Mytilus edulis: one gene and its partner. The protein of the gene in region 1 purifies or fractionates together with the protein of each later gene. This does not show direct contact. Links are inferred from orthologs where the notes say so. Each region holds a gene or a part of one and is shown on either strand. Other genes may lie near its edges.

The links.
Region 2: the proteins of armadillo repeat-containing protein 1-like (region 1) and dnaJ homolog subfamily C member 11-like purify together in Homo sapiens (affinity purification with mass spectrometry; 4 studies listed by BioGRID and IntAct, counting the BioPlex papers as one, with this or other methods). This does not show direct contact. The link is inferred for Mytilus edulis from reciprocal best matches to the Homo sapiens genes ARMC1 and DNAJC11.

The regions. Positions count from the first base shown.
Region 1 is NC_092344.1:110,180,883-110,198,034, forward strand, and holds the start of armadillo repeat-containing protein 1-like, read right to left. Parts: upstream 8,785-17,152; 5' UTR 8,669-8,784; coding exon 8,650-8,668; intron 6,843-8,649; coding exon 6,763-6,842; intron 6,570-6,762; coding exon 6,495-6,569; intron 5,764-6,494; coding exon 5,672-5,763; intron 4,967-5,671; coding exon 4,853-4,966; intron 2,604-4,852; coding exon 2,522-2,603; intron 1,953-2,521; coding exon 1,836-1,952; intron 1,315-1,835; coding exon 1,240-1,314; intron 1-1,239. Other genes in the region: mitochondrial fission regulator 2-like, read left to right, coding at 11,017-11,091, 11,654-11,866, 13,582-13,730, 14,456-14,691, 16,242-16,393.
Region 2 is NC_092356.1:64,898,529-64,915,273, reverse strand, and holds the start of dnaJ homolog subfamily C member 11-like, read right to left. Parts: upstream 9,101-16,745; 5' UTR 9,058-9,100; coding exon 8,986-9,057; intron 5,825-8,985; coding exon 5,695-5,824; intron 4,985-5,694; coding exon 4,911-4,984; intron 3,522-4,910; coding exon 3,429-3,521; intron 2,678-3,428; coding exon 2,613-2,677; intron 1,092-2,612; coding exon 914-1,091; intron 1-913. Other genes in the region: dnaJ homolog subfamily C member 28-like, read left to right, coding at 13,401-14,018, 14,449-14,562, 15,876-16,042.

The DNA of each region.
Region 1 (17,152 bases):
ACTTCAAAAAAGGTTTTTGGGTTTTTCTCCAGTTTTGTTGTACATTATTTAATCTGTGCTATAAATTAGCTTTTATAGTTTTAAAAATGACTATCAAAACTTTAAAAATTAATAGAAATTTACATTTCAGAGGCAATAACTCCATGATGGATCTTCAGATTTTTCAACTATTTTTTTATATAGGATTAAAGGCCTTTTTGAAGGAATTTATTGATGTATAAACTCGACCAATTCACTCACAATCATATGATATGTTTGTGAGTGACTTGGTCCAGATATACACCAATAAATTCCTTTACAAAGGCGTTTAATTCTTATAATTCTTAGAAACTGGGGATAGGGAATACTGATACCTTTCCACACTCGTTACCTCTATCTATTGTATTTTTATGTCATTAAATAGGCCTGGCACATGAATATATTTGTTGATTTACACAAAAATATATATTCAATGATATTTGCTATCTGCTAAAAAATAAACTGCAAAAACTTTTATTTAACGATTAACGTGCACTGAAAATATATTTTTAACGTCGGCGTTATTATTGCCGCCATGTTGTTTACATTGGTTACCAAAAGAAGTTCGGTCAATGTCATCTATCGAAAAATAACCAACATTAAGATCAACTACTGGAAGTCTTCTAGACCAATCATATCAATGTATTCCATAATATGCAAATCATATTAGAATTTTAAGTAGATAAAACTTGATATGTAGATATTAAACATTTTAACCTAGCTTCTAAACAATAGCCAAGATTTGTCCAAAATTTAAAAAAAACTTAACATAAGAGAGAAATATTTTTTAAATGGATGCATGTATGGCTCTTAGTTTCATTTACAGAGTCTGAAAAATGAAATAGTATTGGGTTTTAAGGAGTTAATGAAGGGAAATCTCTAAACAAAGATACGATTTTTTTTTAAAATTATTTAGAAGATACTTTTATGAAAATACAAACAGGAAAGAAATTACATTTTTCAAAATGTAGGGCTTAACTTCTTAGCCTGTAAAGTAAGAAGCATGAAGCTTTAAATTGATCCTTAATTTGTGTGTATAAACTGAATATAAAAATTAAACCAGTTCTATCAAAAAAAAATAATGATCTGTTGTAGTTGCAAAATGTGTAAAATACTTATTTTAATGTACAATACTGAAGAATATAGTTTCGTTTTAATAAAAAAAAAAAAAAAATTGATGAATTTTCATATGAATTGAATATTTAAAATTAAGTACAGTACCTCCTCTCCATTTTCATCTCTAACCACTTGTTGAGCTGTCATAGTTTGTGACTTTGCTACTGCTTGGGCTAAAGTCTAAAAACAGAAATAATTACCATTTTATCTCATACTATACTACCTTCCCTTGTTATGCTTTGTGTAAAAGGGGGATGTATAAAAACAAAATAGAAATGTCTTAATCATTTCAACTTCTTGCAGAAATTTTAAAATGTATAATAGTTTTAATGTCATTTTGATCCATCATACTCAGTCATCATTCTCAAAATGCAGCTTATATATTCTCAATACATGTCCTTTTAATGAATAAAATTGTAAGTAAAAGCTACATCTTGTCTGCATATTGCATTACTATCAGTGGACATAAGTGTGTCTTTCAATTGAACACCAAAGAAAAGAAAACTAACGTAAGAATACAAATTAATTTAATTATGACTTCTGAAGAACCTCTTAATCTCCTGAAATATTTATGCAGCAGTATGCAAAATAATAATAGTTGACCAAAAATACTTCTCAATAACTTCTTTTTTAAGGTAAAGAAATATGATTTCTAAATGATGATATTTGGATGTCAGTTTGTACTTCATTTAAACTCTTACCTCTGGTTTGACATCTTGTTTTGTTCTCATAATACATCTCTTCTGATTGAGGTCAAAGGTTATACTAACAACTCCTTTTACATGCAATAACAATCTCATCACGACATCTTTGTCATTCTGAAAGACAAATATTTTGTAAATTATATAAATTGAGACTTCTTTTAATGATCTTTAATTCTTGGTAAAAGGTAACATCTTAATTTTTATTTTTCAATATCCAATATTTTCAATATATCACATATACAATGATTGCTGTGATACATTTAAAGATGTAGACGGACCAGATAGTTTGGTTGTCTGCCTCCCTTTTTAGCTAGGTCGCTTTACAGCTAATTATTTTCTATTGACCCTAACATATTGGGACCTGTTTATTCACCGAATTGTAACAAGCAACCTTGACAAAGTTTCCTCATTATCTCATGTCTAACTGTTATAAATTACAATGAAATAAATAAATAAACAACCTTGAGTACAAATCTTCTCATATGTCAATCCACTTTACGTAACACAAGCATTCCTGTTAACTTGTCTCCTAAATCTTTTTCTAATACCTAGATGTCCTTTTGGGTTATAATTATCATTTGGTTGCTGTCTCATTGACGTATACCTCTAAACTCCTTAAATTTATAAAGGTATATAACACCATTTAAACTTGACCACTTGAACAAGTTTTTACCCCTATTTACCTTGACTACAAGACCTCGTATCTGTAAGATTATATGCTTTGTTCTGCCACCATTTACACTTTTGTTCTTACTTGTTCCATGCCTGAAAAAAAATAATATATATATATATGTAGGACTCAAATCTAGGGCGGGTTCCAAATCTATGGCAGATTCCTAATCTATGGCAAATGTGACGTTACAAATGCAAAACAACTCAAATCTATGGTAGATTTTTGTTTTCCTCAAATCTATGGCAGATCTTTGAATTGCGTCACAATTAAATAACGCCATATTACATCGTCGCCCCCGCAAACGTTGGCGGAACCCATAGATTTGAACACCATTCCAGATATAGGCATTTCCCTTGACAACAATTTGATAGTCTCAAGGAAGATGTGACCTATTACTAATATTCGGAAGGCGGACGAAATGTGCTGTACCGGCCAAAGCCCGCGATAAGCAACGGGACCGATTTTTTCATCGAGTTATTAGAGAAAGGAGTTATAGAAAAACGGATATCAATTTGATTTAAATCGTCATTCAATAATAAAAAAAGATGCATTAACGAAGAAATAAATATTACTTGAAAATTGAAACTGGTCATTTCTGTTTTATAAAAAAAAATACCTTCTTAAGGGACTTACTAGACTAGTTGCTTTAATGAATGGGTTAAACAGGTACCATGCAAAGATTTTTACGGGGCACATCATTTCAATCTTGAAGTCTGGTTTTTTTTGGTTGACCATTATTGAATGTTTATTTCACAAATGTTTAAAGACATGCATGCTTCCGATGTCGTACATGACCACTTATTTTAGACAAATCATTGGTCGTATAGGTACTGCATTATTTTCCATTTGCTCATCATTTGCAATAGATTTGGAAACCGTGAACATAAATCCGCCATAGATTAGGAAATTACAAAACTTGCCATAGATTAGGATTATAAAAAATCTGCCATAGATTTGGGATGGCATGACGTCACATTTGCCATAGATTAGGAATCTGCCATAGATTTGGAACCCACCATAGATTTGAGTCCTACATATATATATACATTAATGTTGACATATTAGTTCTTACAGGTTTGTTCATGACTGACAGTTCAATAATTTTTGATATCATAGAATATATGTGGACTTATTATATAATGAACCATAAAAATGAGGACAAGGTCAGATGAAATTAGCAAGATAAACAGGTAAACCTTACAAGCATTACATTTGCCAAATATACATTTTTTAGTGACGTTTTGCTCAGGGGTCGAATTTAAGCTTTTTTGTGTACTAGCCAGCCGGACCAGTGGACTGAAAAATCTACTGGTGCGGCTCCAAATCTACTGGTCCTGCACAAATGAAATTCATTTGACAAACACTAATAAATAGGAGATGTTTACGTTTATTTTCATGATTTTCCCTTTCTTTGTTTCCTCATCTTTATTCTCGTATTTTATAGTGCTGTTCTGATTGTTCATTAGAAAGTACAGAATCTAACTTAAAATTTGAAGATCTCGGTACAAAAACACATTTCTAATCTAAGTCTGTCACTACAAGTGTTTCACATGATATGCAATTGATTACATTGTGATCAACTATATAATTTAACCAATCACGATCTTTTTCCAAGGATTTTTTATATTTACGTTTCCTTTTGTCAATTTCATGAACTTAATTCAGATCTTCCCTTCAAATGTCACTTATTGTATTTTTTTGTCCAGCGATTTATCTTTTTCCAAAAATTTCCACATTTTTGTTGTTGTGAAGGACGCTCATCCGAAATAGTAATGAAATTGATCAATTGCAATACTTAGTACCCCCCAGTACCAAGTAATTGATTTTGCAGGTAAATTGTTTTGTAAAGAAACCAAAATTTTATCGACAAATTTCTACTGGTCCGTTGGACCACAACGTGACAAAATCTACTGGTCCGACGCAAATTCTACTGGTCTCGGACCACCGGACCAGCGCTAATTTCGACCCCTAGTTTTGCTTATTGTATCTGAGAAAAGGACCTAACAACGAAAAATAACCTTTGACCAATGAACCATAAAAATGAGGTCAGTGAAAGTATTAGTCGAACCTCACTAAATGGATATTTTCACCTTAAAATCATTCCATACACCAAATTGTGTTTACCATTTGCTAATAGTATCTGAGATATGGACCTCACAAAAAATATTAACCTTCATTACAGATCCATGAAATAAGTTCATGGTCAGTCAAACCATGTTTGATAGACATGTAAACTCACCTTAAAAAAAACCTTAAAAATTGACTTAGAGCTATATATCAACTACCGTCGTAGTGTATAATGTATAATGAACCGTCCATGATAGAAGACTTATATTCTTACCTTGACCTTGTTCCTGATGTATTAAATGAATCTTTTAATGGTGCATGTTTCTCTGGTTTTTGTGTTAATAAATCAGACAATTTTTCAGCCAGGTTAGCAATGTTTTCATCTTCTCTACAAAATAATTGATGAGGATATAACAAAAGTGTTTTAAGTACAAACATTTATTATAAAAATTTAAGATTGCATATAAATTTGAAATTCAATGGATTAGTTATACATAAGAGCTATAAATGATATAGATGGACAATTCCTTTGATTTATCATAAGTCAAGGCATAATAATTACCTTGAATTTCCCAAATCCTGAAAACAACAGAACTTCCTTGAAACCTGAGATTTATATCTTAACAAGAATGTGTCCCAAGAACATGGAAGCCCCATCCGCACTATCATTTTCTATGTTCAGTGGACAGCGAAAATGGGATAAAATCTCTAATTTGGCATTGAAATTAGAATGATCATGGGAACATGTTTACTAAATTTCAAGTTGATTGGACTTCAACTTCATCAACCAAAAACTTTAACCTGAAGCAGGATGGACGGACAAACAGACGGACAAAAGGATGGACGCACAGACCAAAAAACATAATGCCCATAAATGGGACACAAAAATAACATGAATCAACATAATCTATTTTTAAATTCAATTGGATCCAGTCTGACACCTTCTCCTGAACATTACTGAACAATAAATTTCAAATGTGCCTAGAAACATTGAAAAATATATGAGTGTCCTGTAATAAATAAAGAATACTCAGAATAATTTCTTCTGAGTAATATGTAAACAGTGATCCACGTGTTAACCTTCATAACTAACCTGTTTAGTAGGATCTCTACTTGTTCATTCAAACCAATAAATGAAGATAGTGTTGGTCTGTATTCTGGCACTTCAGCCAGAAGGATTAATGTCTGCAATAACAAGTAGATAGTACAATGAAAATCATTGTTATGGAATAATCATAATGTTTTATATGTAATACTGTGGATTCAGTTATTTTTATAGACACCCATTTAGGAGAATTGAGAAAAAAAATGAAAATCCATTGATATTTAAGTTCATGGTTCTGTCAAAGTGTGCATACAATCCTACAGAAAATTAGTCCCACAAAATACAAGAAAAAAAGTATCCAATAATTAATACCAAGTATATGAAATTAATAAATAAGTTATAATAACAGATAAAAGCATTCAACGCACGATCAAGAGCAAGCATTTTCCAAATTCATTTCTTTCCTCTTGTTTTTAGAACATTAAATGTATCTTTTCATTAGTGAAAAAACTATGTAGTTAAAAAATACAACTATTTGTATCATAAAGTGTTACACATTTCCACAACCACAATATCTAATCTAACTCTTATAACCAGGACTAACACAGTGGATTTTTAAGTGGGAGGCACTGAATGCCATAGTGGATTAAACAAAATGTTTCCGTGTGTATGATTTAAATTGCCATGAAAAGCAGTTGCCAATCACTACAAACATGTAGTTAGACGGGTGGCATGCCACTGTCCCTATATATATGCAGCCAAATTCTTATTTCACTATGTGATGTCTGCACTTAGTTGCCTTGATCTTAAACAAATCTCCTTTTAATTGAACTTGATACATGTATATGTTAATACATATATATACATGTACCTCTAGAGCTGTTGTGACAATTTTTACATCTGGATTAGATAATACAACAACAAGTCCTCCTAAAAATGTTCCATCCTGAAAAATAAATAACAACCTAAAGCATGATTATTAAATAAAGGATACAAAATATTATTATGTTACAAGAAATAGCAATTGATTTATTGTCTTAACTAAACTACATGCATTAGGCAAATTTATCTTTTAATATTCATTTTTTGACACAAATGACATTGACAGGCAATGAAAAAAAATGAAATTCAAGCCTCACCTTTACTATGAAACTTCTCTTTTTGGAATCACTTGCCATAGTCTTCAGGGAAGTCAATGCATCTGCAGACAAGGATTTATCTACAAATATAAAAAAAATCTGTCAATTTCATACACATCAATCAATTTCAAATTTGTTGTAACTTACAAAGAGGAAGACTTTGTCTAAAATATTAAAGTTTCTTTTATTGAAAGAGAATTAAATTCAAACGTTTCTTATTGCAAGAAAACATACAATTTTTAACAGGAACAAATTCCTGTGTTAAGATTTGATAATGTGGCTGTATATAGAGGATTACTGTTGCCTAGCTTGTATTACCTCATTTTCATCTGAACAAGTATAACCCAATACAAATTCTGGCCTATTTTTACTTATGGGGTCCCTAGTCATATAGAGCTAAAAAAATGTAAACTAACAAGCAAAACACATTATTGCTATTTGTCTGGTATTTAAACTGGACTTCTGTTAGTCACAGTGAAAATTATTGGATAATCTTTATATCACAACCTGTCTGAATAATCGTTGTAGTTCACAAAATCTTTGGTATATAAACAACAGAAATGAGATCACATGCTGCTTACTTAATTTTGAGGGCCGATCTTAAAGGCCTCTTGCTAGTCTTGGCATTTAGCAACAACTTGTGTGTTCTTCTAGTTGGTTCAATTCAATAATAGTCTGACATGATAGTTCTAGGAGAAAATGATGTTTGTAAATTTCACTGTTTGTGTCAATAGTTTTACAACACTTAAAATTGTTTGTTTGTTTATTATGATCTGGATTGTTCATTATACACATTTTGTATTCGTGTTATATATTACCAATATAACTGTTGACCTAAATGTATGTTGTGAACGTACAATTTACACGACGTTACGTTATATTATTTCCTGTACTTTCTTTTCCCATTGTTGATGTCAACTTCTGCTCAGCAATTGTTTATCTAGTTTTGAAGAGAGAAGCTGTTTCATGTACACGTTGAAGAATAAGAAGATTGATAGTTTTAAAATTTCACTTGTATCTATAAAAGATAAACAGCATACATTTTACACACTTTTTTACTGATCTCTGCATCAAGTTCTAAAAAATATATACTTTGCCCTATTTATAGATCGTAGTTACCCTTGTTAAATAGAGCGCTATCGGCAATTCAAACACATTAACATTGATTGTTTATTTGTTATTATTTATTCGTGTATTCCTGTGTGAATAAACTTGTTGTATATTTATTGTGTATTGATAATAAAGTATTGTATTTTTACACATTGTTTGCATAAAAACGTAACTGCCGTATAAAGTTGTGGTAATTGTTTAATGAGACAAACGCATGTTGTGAACACCCATTAAGATTTGACCCGCTCAGACCACAGGGGCTTGTTTAGTGGGTCAGACGAGGTTTTACTGTCAATGTCGATCACTATCCTGGTTTTTTATATAGGATAGCGATCGCCATTGACAGTAAAACCTCGTCTGACCCACTAAACAAGCCCCTGTGCTCGGATTAATTTAAAATCTGTTTAATTAAAGATTGGAAACTTTTCAAAGCAGTTTTGCTTTCTTCGTTCGGAAACTTGTTGTAAAATAAGTTTTTATTTTTATTTCAATGAGAAAGCACGGAGGATCAATTGCTAGAACCCCCAAGCTCTTGTGTAGAGGAACATACGTATTAGCTTTTTGGGAGTGTCTAGAGTTCTAGATAACCCAGTAATCATTGATTAGTTCCTTCTTCACTTGAGGGATAATTTCTGCTGATGAAGCTGACATCACTTTGTGACAGGATTGCTTCACATAGCAGAATATAACACGTCACATGTGTATAAATATAGACCAATTTCACAGTGAAATTCTATGCATAAAAATGTGGTTTAAAATTGACCAATTGACACATACATCTTCGATTTTCTTGCATTTTTCAAAATATTCTTGCACTGTCCTTTTTGTGTATCTTTTTTTAATGTTGAAATTCCCACGTTTAATAGCTGTAATCTGATTGGCGAATGAATGTAAAATCAATTTCGATTGGACAAACGTTTGACAGGAAGTGAATTTCGAATGAATGGCGGCGACACAATAACCTACATTTTTACTGAAATTACCCTGGTTTTAATCTGCTGTACGTAATATTCATCACATTTTACATAAACGATGTACACGCAAAATATAGTAAATGTTCCTCTACTTCTAGTCTCTGTCTAGCCCATGCCTTTAGCATGGGATAGACAGAGACTTCCATGCAAGATGTTTCGTCCCATGGTCCTCAGTTATTTCGTCCATACTGCCAGTTCGACCAAAGTCATTTCGGCAATACTGCCAGTTCGACCACAGTCATTCCAGTAATACTGCCAGTTCGACCACAGTCATTTCAGCAATACTGCCAGTTGGCACATACTCTTTTTAACTGTTGTGGTCATCTTTTTAATTCAATTCAATATTTTATTGGAAAGAGCACAATAGAGGCGTGATCCAAAATTATACAGACAATTATAATATTAAACAACATATAAATGAAATAAAGATGCATATAACAAGTCATAAGCCAATTCTATGTAGAATGTAGGACAGAAAGTCACAGGACAAAAAGTCACAATTCATTTTTTCTGACTATTTTCTTTGAATATAAAACACTTATTTCCAAAAAAATATTTTTGTATTTCTCTTGAACTATTGTATAAAATCTAACTTTGTAAACAAAATTTATCAAAAAAATATCAAAGTAAATCAAATAATTGTTAAAAAAACAAAATGTCAAAGTGGTTTGGCACTTAAATGGCTTCATGGTGCCAAGAAATCTTTCTTTTGCATGATTGAATTAAATAAATCTTAATTTTTCAAGTATAATGACACATTTCCTAAACTTTAATATGAATATATGTATTAAAAAGTAAATGTTTCAAGATATTTCTCTTATATATTCAAACAATTGTCAACATATTATTTGTGACTTTCTGTCCGTTTACCATAGTCCTTCTATGTATACCAACCAATACTTTAATTGTTTATATAGTAGGAACACTATACATGATACACCTTTACTGAGGTTTGCCGCCATTTCTGAATTCTGTCCCAGCTCTGACACTCAGCCTTATGGCAGTCATGCAGCTGTCCTGAGAATCTTTTCATCCTGTGGTGTCAGATATTTTGTATTATGACTTGAAAATTTTATTGGAACCTTTGTGATGTCCAGTAATGGCACATATAGCGATAAGGTATTTTATTGTGCCGCTATTCCTGGGTGACCAGAGAATCTGTCATGCTTGCACTATTGATGTCATACAACAATCACTTTCCATTGTGGCTTCATAAGATTTATATAATGTCAAATTTACGAGAACCTTTCTGATGTGCAGTAATAGTGGACAAATAGTGATAAGTTGTATTTATATCCTACTCTTCCTATTTTTTAAGCTATAAAATAGCCTACCCTTAACATTTTCATTGTCATTTTTCAATTTAAGCACTGTTAAAGTCTGAATATTCCTCCCATAGACTCAATGTTGAAAAAAGATAAAACAAAAAAAATCTGTACCTACCTACCCTATTTCTTTCAAAGATGTATTAGGAAATTCACATATTATTATTTTTTTGCCATATCAGGGACAGTCTTTCATAATTAGTCCAAATACATGTAATTATGAGATCTTGTTATGAAACGCTATTTTTTTTCTTTCTGTGAAGTATAAAAATTTAACCCAAGTAATTCCTTGTTAAAAAAAACACAAAAAACTAATAAAATTCATTTTATTAGATTTGAATAATCATAAAGTGAATCAAAATGGGAACATTAGTCAAATATATTCCACAAGAAAGAAAACAAAGGTTCGATGGTGAAAATTTGAAACATTTTAACTATCAAAATTCAGATAGTCCAATAAACTCATTTTATACGTTTAATTTTAAACTGTTGAAATCCTCAAATCATACAAATTATTCTTATAAAACATTTATAAAAAACTGATTTAAAATTTTATGTTGATCATAGCACATTTGTAATACCAATGATACAGCGGCTCTTTTCATAAAAAAATGTTAAGTGTAAAAGTACTCACAAGTCATACACATTTCAGTATCGCTTATGATCCTTTTTTTGTGAAAGAACTCACAAGTCATACACATTTCAGTATCACTTATGATCCTTTTTTTGTGAAAGGAGTCTATGTTCTGACTTTTGTTATGAAATTGACTTTTTGTCTTTTATTTCAGTATGACAGTAATTCGAGGCATGCAGATTTAAACAATATAATCTTTACAGTGTAAAGTATGGACATCATTGATGATTTAGTGGTAGTTGTGAGAGTTATTTTAGATTACATTGGAATTGATCCAGAAGATGTGGTAATTATTTCATTACATGTATTTCATTTGATAAATGATGCACAGGTGTATATTGTACCAAATAATGTGCTTGTAATATATATATATGCATTAATTATACAGTTATACATGTATGTGTTTGTTTACATGAAATCATTGACTAAAGAGATCTATACATTGATGATGCAATGATGTCATGGTGTCATGGTCAATAAATTTTCAAATAACATAAGTAAATTTGAAAGATCATGGGGAATGTTGAGAGACTCCTTTTTAGTCAACTCAGCAAAACATTCTAAAAGTTGTATAAAACTGACACTTAGGCAGACACTCAAACACTACTAAAATAGATTGGTTGTATCGAATTGTAGTTGTACATGTATCAACAATCTTGTATGTTTGTGAGAAAACAAATAAATGTGTTAAATCTTTACAGAAAAATTATATAAACTGCCATGACATGCAAAAGTAATACTTAGTTTTCCATATTTCACTATATTATTTTTGAACATGTAAAAATGATACAAAAATTGTAAGTTAAAGTTAAAATATTCCAACTTTTGGTACATGTTTTATGTTACAGAGAGCTTTATTAGAAGAATTAAATGCTAGGAGAAGAGTGAGGTTTTATCAAACTCGTCAAGCTATCACCTACAATTGGAATCATGTTGTTTCCTTTCGTCAGCGTACAATCAACAGAGTAAATAAAATACAATCAGATGTACGACACAAAAGTTTGATAAGAATCATAGGATCATATGTATCAATGAAACCTGTTAAAAGGGTTAGAATACAGGTAAGAAATAACTTAGAAAATATGTTTGATACAGGGATCTCCATGGCCTGTTTAACGATGGCGCCCCGCCATCGTTCAAATGTCATGCGCCATCGTCAAATGACTCGCGCCATCGTTAAAATGTCTTGCGCCATCGTTAAATGTCTTCCGCCATCGTTCAAAACTTCATCTTTTTTTGTAGCCCGACGCCATTTTTTTTTTATCAAGTATAATCAAATGCATGTAATTGCATAACCCTTAGGCTTTTTATGTTAAAATCCAATACAGTTCTAACGCCTGAGGAATATACGGATTAAGATCGCTAATCACTTGTACCTGAGCTTGTACAGGTAGATCAACAAACCAGACACGAGAATACTATCTGAGGATAGACGATTCATTTGTCGAAATAATCAACTAAGTTTTAGCAAATGATTATGATAATTTAGATTAAATAAATAAATTAATAATCCAGTTACAAAGAAAACAGTTTAACAAGTCGAACATGTGCTTTGTTTTGACTTACGCAATCAGCATCCCCCTTTTTTAAGAAGTACAAAATAAGACGCAAAACAGTAAATATTATTTCATCGCAAATAACTCGAGTACTGCTGTAACGATAATTTAGAATTACTTTAAAAGTTTAAAAGTAAAAACTTTAAATATTTCCTGTAAAGAAATATCGTATCTTAATTCCGAATTCATTTCGTATATTACAATCAAATTGATACATCCGCGTTTCCGGTTTCTATTCAGACTCGAAAGATATATGTTGCACAGCATCAATTTGCCAGATAAAGTCATTAAAAACCTTTTCATTTGTCAACGTTTGCTTTACAAATCTCTTTAACCTTTTACATAACCCATACGAATTGTTTTGTTGTTGCTGCAAATCAGCCATACCGGTAATGGGTTCTGAATTTGACAGTGTCCATGAAAAATTAGCTCCACATCATATGATTTTTAACCCCCATAACAATAACCAAATATACAAGAAATCTACATGGGGACCTTCATGACAGCTTTTGGTCATTCTCGACTAAGGGGGGACCATGAAGACTTGGCATTTGAATGGTTAAAAACGGCAATAAATGAAAATATTGATACTTCTAATTCTATAATGAAAATTCAAATAAATATAATTTAAATAAGCAATGAATTAGCATGTACACCATTCCTTGTATGGTGTAATAAAATACTTCCGATCGCACTACACTGTACAACGTAGACACGGTTTGTAATGGTGAAAGTTCCTCCATCGTTCAATTTTCATCCATGGAGATCCCTGTGATAGGTTTTAAACATGGTTGTCCTGACACTACAGTCTTCACACTCATGATCAACCTCAGTCCTTTCAGCCCAGGCTTGTAAAAATGCTGTTTGGTCTGAAAAATTCATATCTACAGGCCAAAAGAATTACTTTTTTAACAATTGAAATTACCTTTTTGGAGTTTATTGGGATATAAATGTTGACTGAAGCTCATTTACATATGAAGGGCATCAATATGCTCAGTCAATGCTGTTACAACAACTATATAAAATTGAATCTTTTTGTTTGTGTGTTTATATACTCATATGCAGTCACTTTTAATTGGGAAATAAGCCACTTTAAACCTAAATGTTGTATGCAAAAATCATCATGAACTTTCTTGTTTCTCTCTACTGGAAGGACAACATTTTCTATTCTAGGTAAAAATGCTATGATTTTTAAAGTGGCTATACAACTTTCTTTTCAGAATCACTTGTTACAGTCTAGATATCCTAAATACATGTATGACAGTGATAGTGATGATTCTGTTATATCAACCACAAGTCTGGGAACATCTACAGATGATGATGTTGTCTGGGTGGAGGAAGAGTTAGGTGACAACTGTGTCAGGATTAGGTAGGTTATTGTAAGTCAAGGGTAACCGGTTAACTACAGTTACTTACAATATGATTAAGTTGAATGGAGGATATATTTGACATAGAAAGACACAAATGATGAGCATGGGATATTGTTATGCATCAATTTTGTAGATGTTGTTAAAAAAAGATCAACAGCTGATATTATCATATTAGAAAAAAATATGGGACACATATATGCCAGCTTTAAGCTTACTTATACTTTGTAAAAATACTGAGTTCTTTTATCATTGTCTCTCTTGTAATTGTATGAAAATTAAATATATGAGCTCAAATTTTAAAAAATGGTCATAAAGCAGCATCAAATACAATGCTGTGGAACTAGATGTGATAGAATGATGTGGTTTCCTGCAATAAGGTTAGAGGGTTGCATTGTGTAAACCTCACAAATTAAAAAAGAATAGCCATGTTAACCTGCTCAACAGTGAAAGGATCTTGATTAAATGAAAAGCTCCCATACCTCGAAGTTGGTTTGTATTAAATATGTTTATGTTTATCTTAAGATAGATCGAAAAATATAGATTTTTTTAGATATTTCTTTTAGACCTGGTTTTTAGATACATGAAACTGTTTCCAATGTCAAATGATATACTAATATGACAAATATATTCTATGATTTTGAGTGATCTTTAATATTAGTAAATGGTGAGTTAAGATTTAAATTGTTAAACTTTCATTGTATTGATATATTCCTTTTATTTCCAGAGCACAGAAAAGGAAGCACTTTGAAAATGATGCAGCTCTTGATGAGTTAGATGCTGATTTGTTTATATCTCGACCCAGCTTATCCCCTATGAGTTCTACCATGATATCATCAGTGTCTACACGACAAGATCCTGAACAGACACAGAAGTTATCAGTCATGGAAGAAGAGCTCAATAACTTACGACTACAGATAGCCATGCTGGTGGAAGCTCAAGAACAGATCAATAAATCCCAGAGTAAATATTTTATGAAAACCACTTCTCTCAGTAGAGGATACAGTTTTCTTAATTTAATCATGTATCATAAATGATGCCACAGTGATTTGTTCCTTCAAACCAAAGCATATGTGTCTGTTTCTTTCTACTTTTTTAAATCACATTATTTATAATAAGAGAGACAAAAGATTAGGCCAACATTAAAATTATCTTTGTTTCCCCTCTCCCGACTGAGGTTGTTAGGATATGGGTAGGTAGGTAGGCAAATTATTTTATTTTATTCCTTGATATGGTTTTCTATATTGAATTTGTACAAAATTCAACAGGTAAGGCTCAAGTCAAGAAAAGTGGGGTATTCCCTGTATTCTAATTCAGTGTACACCAGTTTTCTGGTGTTAAAAAAACAGTATACAGGGACCTCCTTTTTTCCTATTCTTTTAATGTAATGAAATCTACAAAAGTGCACATTCTACTTGTGATAACAGTGCTTAATGATAGCAAGTGTTTTTTTTAGTTAAAAAAACAAGCTTATTTCAAGTCTAATTTGATGCATAACTCACAACAAAACAAATCCTTTGTTCACCAATTCATACCTTGATCATCAATTATGAGATGACAAAAAGATACATGTATGTTAATCACTTGGGAATTAAAATTCAATGAATAAAAATTTTCAATAGAAGTGAACATAATTCAGTTATGTTCAGTTACACCTGGATCATGCAGCTTGGTCAATTGATTCCTAAACAAAGATTTGTAGGTTTTTTTTAGTTCTAGAAGAAACAAGGCTTCACTTTATATTCATGTTTTGTATTTCCTAAAATACTTTTAATAAAGTATTTCATGTTTTGTATTTCCTAAAATACTTTTAATAAAGTATTTATGAATTCTACTGATTCAGTTATAACGTTAAAATGTGCCCTTTTGTAATTTTCATGCCATAAATTGAAAAAGGAAATCCCATTCATACTGGGTTTTTTTTACACCAGAAAACAGGGACGTTCCCTGAAAGCAGGGAATACATGTATCCCACATTTCCTGACTTGTGCCCAACCTGTTCAAAGACAAAGTAGATAGATTTTAAAGCACGAGTCAGACCGTTTTTACTCAAAGTCTTTAAGATTTTATCCTTTAAACAGGAACAGAGGTTAGACACAAATCTAATCAAGATGCACTCAGCGGGTTGAAAGATGCTTCAGTTTTTTTTATTTTCAAAAAAAGATCACCCTTGCACAAACAAATCGTGTGGCAAAGCATTTTGTTTGTTTTCCTTGATTCCGAATCATGTAGACCCTTCAATGCAAAAATACCTTGATTTAAAACGCTCGTTGACTACAGCATCGGAAAGGTATCACCAAAACCCAACGCTCATTGACTACAGCATCTGAAAGATATCACTAATAACCAACATAGCAACAACAAAAATAGTGGACAAGAATTACCAATAAAATTTTTCGGGTCGTGGTGATTTTACCGGGTCGGTCAGGTGAGGGGAAACAAACAATATTTTATTTTTGGCCTTATCTATGTATAATTCTGAAATAAAATTATTTATGTTATATTATTTACAGTACCTCCACAGTCTTTCCAAGAAGAAAAGTTATCAACAGAGGATTATGTACCAGTGCCACCACTTTGCCCGATAGCCCCTCCGCCACCACCACCACTCCCAGCAACAAAACAGTCAACACCAATTGTTACTCAGACTAAAACAGATAAACAGGTAAAATACTACGGTCTACACCACTGATAAAATTATAATGTCTAGGAAAAAAGCTCCATGCTGTTAACATATTTTCTTTGAACAAGGGAAACTGAGCAGTTATCAGGAAAAGGTGTGATATAGTTTAAGAAATTATATTCTCTAATTTTTGTGCTATTTTCACATTTCCTGACTGGTGTGAGAAAAATATTTCTCCTCACTAGTGAAAAATCTGTTCTCTGCAAATGATTAGTCGAAATTTGATTATGACGTCTAAATGTTTTGTTTTCTTCTGAATTTTCCTATTGTGACGTCATGAAAAAAGGCAACCATGCCTGATGACGTCGCATATAAAGACCACAAGTTTCTGAAAATCTTTGAAAAAAAAGGATAAAAATCATTAGAGAAACAGATTCCTACACTATAACTCGTGTATTACGATATTTCTTCACTCTCAGCAGTTAAATTTTAGTTAATTAAAGAGCTTGGCAAGCCTCACGCTTTAAATAATATAATTTAACTGTCTCGAGTGGAGAAATATTGTAATACACTTGTTGCAGTGTAGGAATCTATATTTCTATAAAGCATAGCTCCCCCCTAATTTATATTTTCCTTTTAGGGGCCCTAAAAGGAAAAGATAGAAATAAAAAGTTATGTTTATTAATTTCTCCTTTGCAGACATAGAGCACATTAAGGTTTACTTTTGTCTGTCTGTACATAAATACAAGGGTCTTTAAATTGATTTCTGTTCTCTACTTTTATGTTTATAACCATGCTTAC
Region 2 (16,745 bases), on another chromosome or scaffold:
CGAAAAATGGTTAAAAATTGACTATAAAGGGCAATAACTCCTAAAGGGGTCAACTGACCATTTCCGTCATGTTGACTTATTTGTAAATCTTACTTTGCTGAACATTATTGCTGTTTACAGTTTATCTCTATCTATAATAATATTCAAGATAATAACCAAAAACAGCAAATTTCCTTAAAATTACCAATTCAGGGGCAGCAACCCAACAACGGGTTGTCTGATTCATCTGAAAATTTCAGGGCAGATAGATCTTGACCTGATAAACAATATTACCCTGTCAGATTTGCTCTAAATGCTTTGGTTTTTGAGTTATAAGCCAAAAACTGCATTTGACCCCTATGTTCTATTTTTAGCAATGGCGACCATATTTGTTGATAGATCAAAACTTCGGATACAATTTATAAATTAGATACCCTAAGGAACATTCAGTTAAAGTTTGAAAGTATTTGGCCCAGTAGTTTCAGAGGAGAAGATTCTTGAAATAGTTTACGACGACGACAGACGACGACGGACGCCAAGTGATGGCATAAGCTCACTTGTCCCTTCGGGACAGGTGAGCTAAAAAATATATATTAACATGTTACACTTTTAATTCGATAATGCTAATTGAGAGTTCATTTTAGCAAAGCAATAAATTTGTTAGCAATATTTCAAAAAACATACATGCACATATATATGGACATTCAATGCTATATTTTGATTAGAGAACCCTTCCAATTTATTTATGCACTTATCATATTTTATTTTTTTTAACTTTATAATCAAGCTTATAACATGTATAAATGTCATTTCCTTTATTATCATATAAAGAGTAAAAATCTTATTGATGTATACCCTATGTGTCATTTACATACATAATTTATCTAACCATTGCATTTGTTATTGATATTTGAAGATTGTATGATCATATTACCTCGTTCCAACCTTTAGCTGACCACACCCTCCTCCATACTGTTGTAAACATCCCCTGCCCGTTTCCATTCTGTGCCGTCACATTCCCACCAAGTCTGACAGTATCTCGTCTTGTAAGAGGACATTCCACAGTCTGTACTAAACTCATACTACTGACCTCTAAACCACTTAAACCAGAACTATAATAGAGCAAATACCATTATCACAAATATATCATAAAACAGGAAATAAACCAAAAACTACAATGTCCCATAGTATCTCAACAACAAACCAAAATTATAATGTAACACAGACTTTTACTTGAGCAAATGAGTTGTCATGACATCGAACATCACAAAAGCTTTATCCAGTCTGAATAGAACACCAAAAGTGTAATATGAATCTGGATAGAATCTGGGGAAATAATTTTTCTGGATGCTGAAGATAAGAACTAATATTTTGACCTACAATTCAAAACTGTACTTCAATATTCAGGGGTCACCACACCAGGCGAAGTGAGCGACAAAGTCGCTCTAGGTCTCCCCACTTCGCTCTAGAGAAGCTCCAGGGAGAAGTTTATGTCGCCCTCGATTTTCAGTAAAATTCCCCAATGTCGCCTCATGATTCTCGAAAAAAAATTCTCGATTCAAACGTAAAGTTAAACGACCGATAGGTATTGAAATACAAAGCATGTTTCCCCAAATTCAGAACTGATTTCTCTGCGATAGTATCATACATCAATGTGAAAATTGCATGCCCGGGTGTACTATAAGCAAGAAAAAAGTAAAATCTAGATTTTGTTATGATTGTTTATTGTCCGCCATCTTTGTTATTGAAAATTGTAGATGGCGCCATTTCATCTTTTCATCTTTTCATCTCTCATCATTTACCTTATCCATATTGAAATGCACTTTTAATTTTGATGTTCTTAAATTTACTGACAAAATGTGATGTCCCATGAAAAATTTCAGATTTCTTTTCAAAAACGGAATATTATCAACTGGTATTCGTTTGTATTTTTACTACGTATGTAGTTTAGTACACTGCCGGGAACCAGCACAACAATTATAAACTACAAAACGCAGTCGGTTTTTTGTTCAGGATTTTGTTTTACAGACTGATACATGTGCTTTGTTTCAGCTAAAGGTCCTTTAAACAGTATTTCAATGAATATCTGCTCATTAATTTGATAAGGAACGGCAATATTTACTTCCAAAGTCATATATTTTTGAAAAATATAAAGTAAGAAATTTTGACGTGGATCGCACCGTATTTGTTTTTGATTTACAAGTACCTATTCAATTCTGGTTATGAAAAATATGACTTTTCCGATGTTACTTTTTGTGATTTAGTCATATTTAAACACTCGTGAAGTGTTTTAGAATCAATAACATACATTTCTAACGGCAACTTGATTTTGGAAATCGGCATTTCCATGAAAGAACAAATGCATTTTGAATCATGATCTTAGCTATGAAAGACAGTGAAACCGTATACGTATTTTAACTTTTTTTACTTGATTATCATTTTTGTTTTAAAAGGTTCTTGGACTTGGTTTAATTTTAAAATCTTATGCAGCATAATTTGATCCAGGTCAAATCTTCAATTCATTCAGACCTACCAGAATAAATATAGCTCTTCAATCTTGTGCCACTAACTTGTGGTCCTTATGTCATGATATTTTTTGAAAATTTGCATTGTACTCAATAATTGTGGTTTACCTGTATTCTTTATATTCTTCATTATAAAATAAATCAGAGGCATTGAGTTCTATTACTACTTGACCCTGCAAAAAACAAAAATAAAAACAAATTATTTAGATGGCTGGATCTTACAAATGATAAAACAGTTTTACAAAATAATTATGATGAGGGGTGGGCAATATAAACTCCATGAGACTTTCAAATGGTTATACAATTGCATACAAATTATCTTAAAACTAATATTAGTTTTTCATTTTAAACTGATCTTATTACAAACTTAAGCATGTGAACTATGCAAAACATTAAAAAAGTCAATATACCATGACTGAGGTGTAGGAGCCAAATTATCTTCATGGAAATTAGAAGTACAAATTTCAAAACAATTACATACCAAATATTATGGGCTTCCACTAATGGTTCCCCTTAAACTGACCTTACCACAAACTTATACATGTATGTATTCAAGCTATGCCATGACTGAGGGGGTTGGAGGAACCAAATGATTTCTATGGAAATAAGATGTGTCAATGCTTTACAACTGTATTAATCTTATTGACCTACCACTACCTGTCCCCAATATGTATATATTATATAATGAACTTATCATAACTTATAATTTGTGACGTTGACATTTGAAACAAAACAATAATGAGACAGCTAATAAAAAAAACCCCAAAAAACCAACAATACTATTAAAAAGTTCATCCATATATGTCAAAATTTCATCTATATCAAAAAGCATGACTTTCACTGATCACCTTATATTTCTGTGTAAATATATATTAATCAAGCTAATCATGATAATGTCAAAGGTCATTGCTTTGTTAATCTTACCCTTGGATTAGTCATCTGTTGTAACTTTCTTTCCTCCTCTTGTTTTGCTAACTCTGCAATTATTTCAGCTGCTGACTTTGATTTTGATATTAACTGAAAACAAGTCAAATATTTAAAATCTATTATTATTTGGTTGCAATACTGTCAAAAAAATGTATACTCTAGAGTCAAGTCGTTTATATGAAAATCATCTATTAGAAGTGTTGCTTTTATATGCAGTAATAGAGTGGACTTGTAAATATTTTGATGTACATATATATGACTTCAAATACTTTGCTTAATTTTGTGAACAAAGAAAATGAGGACTTTTCTAAGTGTTGATATGAATAGTTTTTAGAAATTTTTCCTTCTCATAATTCCAATTTACCTCCCCTTGTTAATAGGGCAGAATGCTGATGGAAAGAGTGCTTGCTAGCTGCTATCTTTTCAATCAAAATCATATAAAACATCTGTTTTCGCATTTGTTTATAAATTAATTGTTGCAAATGAAATAGCATGACTGTTATGACATCCTTGGAAATTGAATAAGCCGTAAAGGTCATCTAATATACAAACCAAGGATCCGGAAATTTTTTCACCTAATTTCGGTCATTTTGAGATAACTTAAAAGTTGGTGCCCTTTTTCAAAAAAATATTGTCAAAATTACATTACTGAGTATGTTCATACTCGTAGCCTCAACGAACTTGTGTTACTGTTGCTTGCATCGCATAAAGCTTACGTTACTGAAGACAAAATTGCAAACCGGATGTTTTGCAAAATTCTGAAACGAGCAATTCCGGGTTTAGTCTTGTTTATCAAATTCACAGGAAGTCAATTTTAATTTTTAACTTTGATAGTGTTTGAATTTGAATGATAATAGTTGCACTTGCTTTATTTAGCATGAAATAATTTTGAATTTACGATATAGTGTCTAATCGGCGGAAGAGGATTTTGACATGTATGCGTATTACATAGTAAACAAAGCACTTGTGTTAGTTATAGCGACAAAATACTTTTCTACTTATATAAAATCAAGTTTTAATTTAATTTTAAATCAGAATTGACAATTGTCTTAGCTGAAAAGTAATTAAATAATGAAGACAGTTGTTATGGAATTTTAATTTCTTTATAATTAAAAGTTCTGAGCTTGTGATCAATAGCCCCCGCAATAGCCAAGCGGCAAGTGTGAATTAAAAACACAGGTAAAGAGATTAGAGATCATTAGCCAATACTTCCCAAAGGCATCAATATAGTTATTAGGAGGGCCCTCATGATTATCACTCTATACTTGAGTGGCAGTTTTATTACAGGAAAGGGATAACAAAACTAAAGTTCAAAATGGCGATTTAGAAACTCGATCACAACGAAATGACCGAAATTATTTCTGTTAAAAAATAAAATATGTCCTAAATCCCAATTCCACGTTTAGGACAAACACTTTCAGTAAAGGTCAAGACTGTCAAATATGACCGTTTCCGGACCCTTGATACAAACATACATACCTCCATGCCTTCTATTTCTAAACCTTTCATTCCAAATTGGTCATACACTGGTCTTTTGTTTGGGTCAGTTAAAACTAAAATATAATATAATAATGTTCTCATCAACTAGTTCCAAAACTTCTAATAATTAAAATAGTTTTCTTAACTCCCAACTTTTTTCTTCATTTACAGGCACATACTAGTTTATTTTAATTTTAGACATTCTACAACTTATCTAGCATGTCTAGTTTGTTTTTGTTGATTCAGATTTAATTCTGTTTGCTGTTCAGAGATTCCAATATGGTAAGAGCAATTTTATGACAATTTACATGACATTGACGCTATTACCTAACAAATGCCCAAGCAATCTTTGTCACTTATAAATCTGTTACATCTCATAATAATAATTAGGTATACAGTGCATATATTCTCATCAATGCAAGTTGTCATGTCATCTACATGCAAATAAAAGAGATTTCCATTTGAATATAAGTGAAATAATTAAGACATGTTTGAGAAATTAACCTTAGAGCACATACATGACATGTTGAGATATATGGTCTGAATACCAAAAAATATTAAATATACGTCATGGAACCCAGGGAGTGAACTTGGAAACTCCAATTATGGGAGGGTGTAAAGTACAGTGAAATTGTTTGTAAAATTCTTAATTTGTCTCTTTAGGTAATACCCAATTTTGAATGTATTTTTCCTGCTTTGAGTCACTCATCTCCATACAATGCTACATGTACATGATGCATATATAAATGAGCTTTTGAAAATTCATCTTTATTTTATCGTTTACCTTCATGAGCTTTCTTGATTTTATTGAACATGTTTTCTGCATGCTTCTTTTTTTTATCATCTAAATGTTTGTCTGGGTGGAAGATTTTACTGTATCTACGAAACGCTGTATTGATTTCATCTGTGCTAGCCTGAAATATAAACAAACTTCTGGTTAACATGGTTAACTTAACCCTTACCATGCCGTGACTGTCATATGGCAGGCATACCCAAAACAACGTTATTTGGCTCCAATGGCGTTCCATTCTTTTAGAAGTCCACTTTATGAGGCCTAAAATAAAATTTCATTTGTTTGGCATTGCCGCCCGACCCACTGAAAAACTTGCCGCCCAAATAATTTTATTTGCGTTTCAGAAATTTATTTTTTTTTATTTAAAAAAAAATCGAAATTGTGCCGGAATTTGATTGTATCCGCCGAGTTTGTTCCTGGCTTTACTTTTTTCAAATCACGATCTTAAAAGCGCTTGCCTTATTGGGAGCAAACATTTAAATGACATGGAATAGAAAAAGTTTGCCAAAAGTAATGTCAAAGAGGCCGGCAGGGGAAAGCATCAATGCATTGGTTAAGGGAGATGGATTTTATCAAAAATCAAATGTTCAGCTATTCTTTGAAAGAAACGTTCTGAGAGACTTTGTAGAGGACTCAAGTTTTATCTTTTGTAAAGGCTAAAAGCAGAAACAGATGATTTCTGCTCGACTTTGTCGCTTCATGAGATAGAAGTTTTTCTCCGGGACATCACAGAACAAATATGCGTGGCTCTTACATTTGTTGAACTTATTAAATATTTGAAATGTATCATTGACAAATTTTCCCTTGAACCAGAGAACAAAGTATCTACTATAGTCAGAACCACAATGATGCATTCAAGATAATTATGGCTGTAAGCACTAAAGCCCATAGACCAAAACGGTCCCAGATTTACAGGTTTATAGTAGTTTTGTACCAGTAGATGCTAGCCTGGTACAAAACATACATATTTTAAAGACTAGCATCTTGTGTCAATTGAAGTACTTCCCCCTTTTCTTGCCTTTCTTCTTAACATGAATAAAATAATTCTTAAAACATAAAAGATACTGACAGAAACATATTTATAAATGTATCTAGTGTACTAGTGATGAATAAAATCCCTTCCTTTTCCACAATTCTAAGGGCTCATTAATTTATCTGTATTCATGTAATGCATGTCCAGATTTCTGTTAATCAAACAAGCATTACAACCCATAATTTATTTATCTGCAAAAATTGTCTGTCCTGCTGCATATTTCCATTTTGAATTTATCATACATTTTAAACCTATAGCCCTGAAAAACCTTGCACTAATGGATAATATTAGTATAAACACCATGTCTATTTGTGCCAACCTTCCAAATTTTTAATATTTTGCTATCCTTATTTGGTACAGATCCTATATCCTCAAAACTTATCAGGGGCAGTAGGCGTGTTTGTATGGTAGTTCGTCACACCTTTCATGTATGATTACTAGCCTCTAGGTATTGGTTTGAGCCCTAGTTGGGCAGTTGCAAAATTAAGGTTTGATTTTCATGTCATATGTGATAAGGTTAGTCAGTTTCTTCCCGCAGGTTGCCGCCGTTTTCCTTCAAGTACTACGGTTTAATAGTATGCCAACAAAACTGACTGCCATGAAATTACATACGGTGTAGAAAGTGATGTTTATAAAACCAAAGCAAACAATAAAAGTTTTAAATCTTTGTCCATTTGTACAAGGAGCCGTAGTGGTTGAGCCATTTAACTTATGGTAATTTTACCAAACTGTGACCACAAGATGTGACATCAGGCCTCTGTTCAATTGGCAGTCCCACAATAAAAGTTCAATTTTCACGTCATACATTGTACATTTTATATGGTTAATTTGTCAGTTTCCTGCCTCAGTTCTGTGTTTTTTTCTGGGTCCTTTGGTTAACTCTGCCAACAAAACTGACTGTCTTACATGAAATTATCCATATGATGTAGAATGTGACATTGACGGTTGACCCCGTTCAAAGAAACCACCAGCATGTACACACAACAATGCTGCAATGCTTTAGACAACATTGGTCTAGAGACTTCATGATTTACATGTATAAAGCTTTTAAATGTAAAAAAAAAAAAAATCCCTACCTACCTACCCACCTGCTGATAGTGTACATGTGGGTCGGCAATGCCAAACAAACAATTTTTTAAGGGTGGCCTGATACTTATGTTAAAATCTATGCATGTTCTGTCAACCTGAGGCTATCCATATTCATGTTTCTCATGTACAAATGATGTATAAGTTGCATTTTGAGCACAAATACGGTCTTGGAAAATTGAAATCGGCTGAAACTCGGTTTTCTGGAGGGGTGGGCTTCACATCTGTGTCTTACACAGAAAGTTCAGAGTCATAAAACTTGCAAAACTAAAATATCTGACGTCACAATGGAAAATTGATTTTGTATGACGTCAATACATGTAGCTCAAGCCGAACATATTTAGAGTTCAACTTGGACAGATAGTCAGATTTCCAAACAGCAATAAGGTGTATGCAGACATTAGAATACACCTTATCTCTATTTGTCTCTTATCCTAGAAATCACACAGGTTCCCGTAAAGTTTTGACGTGATAATACAAGATATCTGACGCCACAATGGAAAAGTGATTGTTGTACACCTTATCTATATTTGTCTGCAATTACTGGATATCATACTGGTTCCTAACTAATCATTTACTAATATACTGTATACATTCATTTCAGGTATCAGTCATCCTTATTATTAAAGCTATAAACCTAGGAAGATGTTGACTCTCATTTATGACTGATACCGACAAGAAATCGACAACTCGACTAAGGTAGCAGGAGCTACACCTGTTCCTGGTTGAAACGTATTCTCTGCCATATTATTTTTGTTTACCGTCGTATAACAAAATATCTGACGCCACAGTTGAAAAGTGATTGTTGTAAGACGTCAAAAGTTCAAGCGGCCGGGTCAGACGGGATAGCGATAAGGTGTATAGACTAAAGTTCAAGCCGGACAGATTCTCATGTCAGCTGGGAAAAGCAATAAGGTGAATAGAAAGCCGTTTTATTAATCCCATGTATAGTTGCAAGTTTTATGAGTTTATACGTATTTCTTGACATTAAAACTTGACAGACTTATCCAGATGCAGAAATTACATACAAAAATAAATGAAAAATGTGCATGATGTAATTCAATGTCAAAAGGGTCAGTTTAGTCAAATATGTGGCTTTAAATTTGAAATCAAAATAATTTGTCATAAACAGTTCTTAAATGATAAAATTGCTATATTAATACCTTTCGCTCGACGTTTAAAACAGCATATAAATCTTCAGATGCAAGACCATCTTCTTCCATGAACGCTGCCATTCTTCAATCTGGTACCCTACAAAAATACAATAGAGAGCAAAGGCATAAATATGCTGTTTGATACCAGGCCGATAGTCAAACTGGTTTACGTCCTACAATACCAGTATGTATAGGTCATGATTGGGGTCATGTTGTTTTTATGTAATGGTAAAGTTTACGGCTATGCTGAGGAGCATCGAGCATACACATTTCAAGAAAAACAAAGAAGATTAGGCTGATTAATGTGACGTAGTTGATATATGATATATTGCTGATGTATATTTATTTATGTCTAAATAATTTATGATTTTATTAAGCAAAAACTAAAAAAGCAGGATTAGAAAACAGCTGTTATATGCACAAGGATAAACAAAAATCGAATTATAGTTAACCCGTACCAATGTAAACTCGTACCAACGTTAACTCGTACCACTAAAATATAACTCGTTCCAATGTAAACTCGTACCACTGCTAACTCGTACCAACTTATTTAAATGCATTTGATTGGTGTTTAATTATGAATGTAAGCGGGTCTCACTAATTAGCGACAACAAGCGTCAACAAGCGACAACAAGCGTCAACAAGCGACAAGAAGCGACAACAAAATTTATTTTAGCGACAACAAGCGACAAGAAAACTATTTAGCGACAAGAAAACATTTTTTTTTTATTAGATATAAAGAAATTTGTATGTAATGTTTTTTTTTTAAATATACGAGCAGATATGTCTAATTAAAATGTTTTATTATATAGATAAGATAAGATAACTTTATTAGCACTAACACATTGACAATAAATGGTTATGGCAACAAATTAAAGACTAACTACAATAACATATATACAATGAAGGAGTGACAGTGGATAATTATGAGAGAAATATATAAAAAATAAATGAGAAGCATATACATGATTACAAAAATCAAGTACCTTTTAATCCATGCAACAAGCATTCATTCAAATAGTTGACAACAATTTTTAATATTGTTTGGGAATTACTATTTAGAATTGATATAAGCAAGTTATATGATAAGGAAGAAAATTTGTTGTTCAATAGAACATTATTTAATTTTTTAATAAGGTTATCTCTCACATATTTATAGGAGGAACATTTTAAAAGAAAGTGAAGTTCATCTTCAATGTCTCCATTGTTACAGATAGACGAAGAAATGAAACATTTGTGAGAAAGAAAGAGATTGTGAAGTTTATATTAGTATATTGGTAGATGAAGAAATTTAACATTTGTGAAAAAGAAAGAGATTGAGCTTCTTTTTTTTAATTTTTAAATATGAAGAATATGTATAAGATAATGTATGAATCTGTTTTCATCAAAGTCAAAGTATGAATAAACGAATGGAGATACATATGGAGCGGGCATAATGGAATATAATATTTTGATTCATTTGCTTAATACTATGCTCTAAGTGTACTCTTGTTATGTCAATTCGATGCTTTATTTGTAAAACTCTCAGCCACGCTTTGCCATCTTTATTATTTAAGCGTGTTTTCAGAGCCCACGACGAGGACGTGGTTCTACCTTGGGGTCCATATACAGATCACGTACTTTTGCGGAAAAAACCCCCCAAAAAAAAGGTCAACTTTCCTTTGAAGGATTTATTGAAACAAAAACATGAAATATTATTTCCTTTCTAACAGTATAATTCATTGTTCTTGATAGGAACAACATTAGATGTGGCTTCACCTTAAGGTAATAACAGTACACACAATGTGGAACATCAAATGAGATTAACGAGTGGCGTGTCCCCTGTTTTATTGCTACAATAACATCCAATTAACACCTTCAACTTTGTACACACGTCAGACTATACAATTACACGCGCCAGACTATACAATCATTGTAAATAGTGAACACCTGTTGAAAACTCAAGATTGTCATTAATTTCCTTTCATCTTCAATCAATATGCATAAACATGATAAATATCGTTTAATGAGGCAATAAACAAATAAAAAGATGAAAACATTCACATTTCAATTTTCTTTTCCTCCTGTTTGGTTTCAGTTCTTTGTATTTCACAATTTGTGTCAATATTTTCAGGACAATGATGCACAAGTAATTCATTTTGCGAGCTTAATACATATTGCACGAAAAGAGTTTTAAAATACAAATTATAAGATAAATAATATGTTCTAAAACACAAGGAAAAGTAATCTCATAATACAATAATTAAACGTAATACTGGCTGTTATTCATAATAGATGATAAAATATTATGTAAATAATGTTTCATTTTTTTCTATCAATTTTAACTTTCTTGTCGCTAAAATTATTTTCTTTTGCATATTCTTTTAATATTTATTGCAATAATTAATTTTAATTAAAAAAAATGTTTTCTTGTCGCTAAATAACAGCTAAATAGTTTCTTGTCGCTGTTTGTCGCTTAAATAATTCTTGTTGTCGCTTCTTGTCGCTTGTTGACGCTTGTTGTCGCTAAAATTCTTGTTGTCGCTAATTAGTGAGACCGATGTATACTGTTATTTTTCTCAAAACCTCTTAAGTCTGTAAAATGTTTATAATTTGAAAGTAAAATGACTAGTCTGTAGCTAATGTTCCATGTGTATTAGATATAGACAATACCTTGGCAGATTTGATTTGTTGTCTCCCTTGAATCATTCTTTTTTAAACTTATACTGATAACCATTGGATTTAATTTTTAATCATTCCAAATCAGTTACATTGAATAGATTTGTCTACTTTTCTTTTGTTTCTCGAAGGAATTTTATTCACTGAAAGAATTAATTTAGTGTGTTTTAAAGGTTGTAAATTGTTTATGACCAACATGTTAAAAGTATGAATTTTTTTATATATAATATTTTGCACGAGATCTCATGTAGATACTCCATGATGGTACGAGCCAGACGGTTGATGACAGCCAAGTGTTCTTTACGTAGGCGTCAAGCTCTTTTGTTCTGGCAGATTTTGCTTTGGTGGCAATGTCCTCAAAGGTAGTAGGGATGTGTTCTGCCGGTAGAAATGATAGGGCCATGAGATTCTTGACAAACTTGTACACAGTGTCCTTCTGGTAGTAGGCTGTCTGAAATAAAATGAGATGTTATGAATAATGATATATCAATAAATAATATATATTGAGAACTAAGAAAACTATCAATATAGTATAGATATTGTTTATTGAAGACGTTGATAATATATATGTCAACATTATTGTAACAATTATAAAATCATTGTAAAAAATTACTTTGCTCTTCATGGCCCCTTTAGTTGGAATAAGAATATCTTTATATGTATTTGCAATCATGTTCTTGTTTCTCATTATCAATTTTACTGAATCTACGTATTCAATATTTTTCATATTTATTACATCAAATGAATATCGTATATTAATTAGCAGGGTAATAAGGTAATTAAGACCATTTATATTAGTATCTTAATAAAAAAAAAACGTATTTTTGTCCAAGTTTTCATTAAAATCCAGTATAAAATTACAGTAATTCAACTTTTTTTAATTAATTTTAGAAAGAAAAAACACCACAAAACATTTTTTTTAATGGTACGACTTCCCAGTGGTACGACTTTAAGTTGGTACGAGTTAACTTTTTTGGTACGAGTTAACATGGTACGAGTTTCCGTTGGTACGAGTTAACTTGCTTCCACAAAATCCTTGCTATAGAAATTTGTGTGTTTAGGTATCTTAAACTGGCCACATGCAACATTTTACAAACATTTTATTGTGAATCGTTTTTCAGAAAAAAATTGCCATTAGCCTTGCAAGATGTCATAATTATTGGTACTACAGTCAATACAGTAAGACCTGATCAAAGCTAAAAAAAAAAAAAAAACCATTTGAAGATGTCATAATTATTTGGACTAATAATTTGTCTCATGAAATTATACCCGGCTAGCTCAACAGTTTACTTAAGACAGTGGATGCATGTACCCACATGAGTGGATGCGTATCCAATTTGGCTTTCGGAGGCTATTCATACACGCAACTGATTTTATAAGAAACTGTCACATGATCGGGAATGAAACGTGAAAGATACACAAAAAATATTGGTTATAGAATGCAAATAATAAATAATATTTTGTATTAAATGCATTCAATAGTTATAGAAAAAAAGAATTAAACGTAAATGCACATTAAAAGAATAAAATTATACTGAATTTGAATAAAATATGTTAAAAGAAAAACAGACACTTAACCATGTTAACCATATTTGTTCTAGGTTATTTCTGGGTAAATAAAATAAACAATATGATAATTATCATGATTATTTTACAGAAACAGAGAAGTAAACACTAAAGATGATTTGAGAACAACAGTCATCATCACAGGTCTTGTTGTTTTGAGGAGAACAGTCATGATATTCACTGATACAGTCACCTAGGAAATGTTACAAAACAGGATACACATATTACATCAACATGTTCATTTATTACCACAGAAAAATACATTATCCCGCTCAAACATCAGCACATATCAACGATCTTGTCGCTGTAGTAAAAGACGGACTTCAGTCAATGTGATGTCTACATTTACATTTTGTTGTAACAGGCTTATTTCAACTGCTCTGGTAGCAAGGTCTTTAAGTTGTTGTGATAAATTTACCTTAAACAAAATGATAAATGTATCTAGGGTTAATAGCAGAGGATCACATGTCATTTTATCCTACTTCTCCATGTCAGGTTCAGGACAGAAAGAAGCAAATTTGAGAGGAAAAAACAAATTGCATCAGAATTTTTCTTCAGTTTTATGCTTGAAAAGAAAGGTATTTGTCTGTGGACAACACTTCATTTCCACCAGTAGTATTAATTGTCAGATTGGTTATAAGCTAAAAAACAATGTCAAAGACTGTTATTCATTATTTAACCTGTCACCTGACTGTACGGAGGAGGAGTTACGAGAGGCCTATCTACGACTGGCTAAACAGTATCATCCAGACAGTGGGACATCAACAGCATGTCCTCGCAAGTTCTCACAGATTCAGGATGCTTATAAAGCCATAAGGGTATGATCAGTGGTTTCATCAATTGAGATTGAGATCCTATAAAAAAATATCCAGAATTCAATGTGTGTGAAATGCATGATGATATATTAAACAAGATCAATGGGCAGTAATGGAATCTGTTTCTCTAATGCATTTTTAGAGCATAGGTTATATGTTTGCAAACTTTTTTCAATTGTAAACCTAAAAAATATTTGTGTCTTTGGTTACATTACTATATGGCATAAAGAAATCATAAGAAAGGAAGAAAATTAAATGTTAAAATTGATTTTTTTTTAATTGAGAAATAATAATAGACTACATTTGTAGCTATAAAATGTAAAAGCACCATCCAATATTTGACACAGTAAATTTCATATATTTTAAGTGTGGCATAGTGGCAACACATTTTCTGATCATTGTAAGTTAATAAATAACTATTTTTTTTCTGCAGGCAAATATGAGAGCTGATCTACAGATGCCAGTTGACATGGTTGAAGAGCAGGAAGAGGGTATATTTGACTTTCCACACACACTACCTCAGCATAGACAATACCTTGGTAATGAGGTATGTACACACACACACACTGAGATTGATACATTCAATTTCCATGGAGATTACAATGTATTCGACTTGGCTCCTCAGTCATGACAATTTTGCATAATTTACATGTAAAAAAAATATGATTAGGTCTGAGTTTAAAACCTCTATTAGTATTAAATGGTAGGTAATTATTTTTTGGTAACTGTATGCTTTTATACATTGTATAAGCATAAACACATCTCATTTGCAAGATTTCATGGTCCCGTTCTCAGTGATGGTTCAGTGACATTTTGATTTTTCTTATGCCCCACCTACACATGTACCTACGATAATAGAGGGGCATGATGTTTTCTGGTCTATGCATCTGTTCGTCTGTTCATTAGTCCGTCAGTCTGTCTGTCCATCCATCCTCTGTCCCGCTCAAGGTTAAAAATTTTGGTCAAGGTAGTTTTTGATGAAATTAAAGTCCAATGAACTTGAAACTTAGTTCACATTTTCACTATGATATGATCTTTCTAATTTTAATGCTAAATTAGAGTTTTGACCCCAATTTCATGGTCCACTGAACATAGAAAATGATAGTGCGAGTGGGGCATCTGTGTACTATGGACACATTCTTGTTTGCATATTTGTAGTTTAGGTGTAGCTAGTTTAGTGTACATGGAACCACTTATTATATGTCAATGATATGTTTATACCTGAGCCGGAATATTTTTGCCAATGCATTTCATAAATGCAATAAGATTTTGTTGCAATACAGTTTTGTTGGGGAAAATCTTTTTTTTTTTTTAAACATTACGAGTTAACATAATTTATGACAAAAAAGAGCCGGAATATTTTGTTCTAAATATTCCCAGGCCCCAAAAAAATCAAATGGTATGTGCCTGATTTAGAGTAGCCAGAGTTGCTCAATTTAGAAAAATAACTTTTTGTCATGTCTGATGTGTCATATTCCCCACTGGATCGATTTTCTAGTGCGCGAGCTAAGCAGCGGGCTAAAATGACACTCCCACTGTTTTTTTATTAAATAAAAAATCACCAGGCCACTTTTAAATGATGTTACAAAACATATACACCACGCCTTACTCATTAACATATTTAAACAAACTGCAGATTTGTTGTTTAAATATGTTAACTCGTAAATAGCGTGGTATATATACTTATTTATGGATGTATAGTAAAACCAATATTAAAACCATATCGAAATATAAGTATTGACATTTTAATTTGTATATTTATTGCAGGGTATAGGATTTAGTAACCCTAGCCAAAGACAGATCCAATATAAAAAACATAAAGTACAAGTATTGACATTATAATTCATATATTTATTCCAGGGTATAGGATTTGGTAACCCTACCCAGAGACAGACCCAATATGACAAATATAAAGTACAAAGAGCTTCAGAAGTTGTGACAGAGTTCAGAATGAGTAAAAATGTCTTGCAAACAGAAACATCAGCATTAGCAGTTAATAAGAAGCAAGCCAAGAAAAGTAAAATAAGGTCAGCAGTAAAAGTAACTAGCAATATTATACATAACCAGTATGATAATGGCCTATTCAAAGCTTAGGGTTAAACCTGTTTAGTTTTATAGTAAAAATCCCCTCTATGGGTTCTGTTTATTGAAAAATATCTGAATTTTATAGATTAAGGCTATATTATAGAATAATTAATGCTTTTTTTTGAAAACATAATAACTTTAAGCAATCTGTGAAAAATGTACTGTGCTTAAATTTTTTATTTTATTTTCTGTTTTTAAATCCTTTGTTTTTAAACTTTATAGTCATACATTATAGAATACCTTGTTTTCAAAATTCCAATAGGGAACATATCTTTTATAATTGTATAAATAAACCAATTGTTCAAGACGTTTCGGCCATTGGCCTTCTTCAGTTGTTTATTATTCCTCTAAACTACATGGCTGCCATTCTTTTTTAAATCATTAAAAAGATGTTATAGATAAATGGCATTATAGAATAAATATCCTAATAGAGTTACCCTAGAGATTTGTTCATAAAGCTTAAATACAATCAACTTTATTCATATCTAATTCTATACTTTTTTTGAATTTTGACATTTTTAATTTTTTATTGTTTATAAATGATTTACATATATGTTCAAGTTATTTATAGTCTTAGAATCAAAATGATGTCAGAGGAAACCTTTTTGTGCAAAATATTTACAAAAATTATTTACTTCATTTACA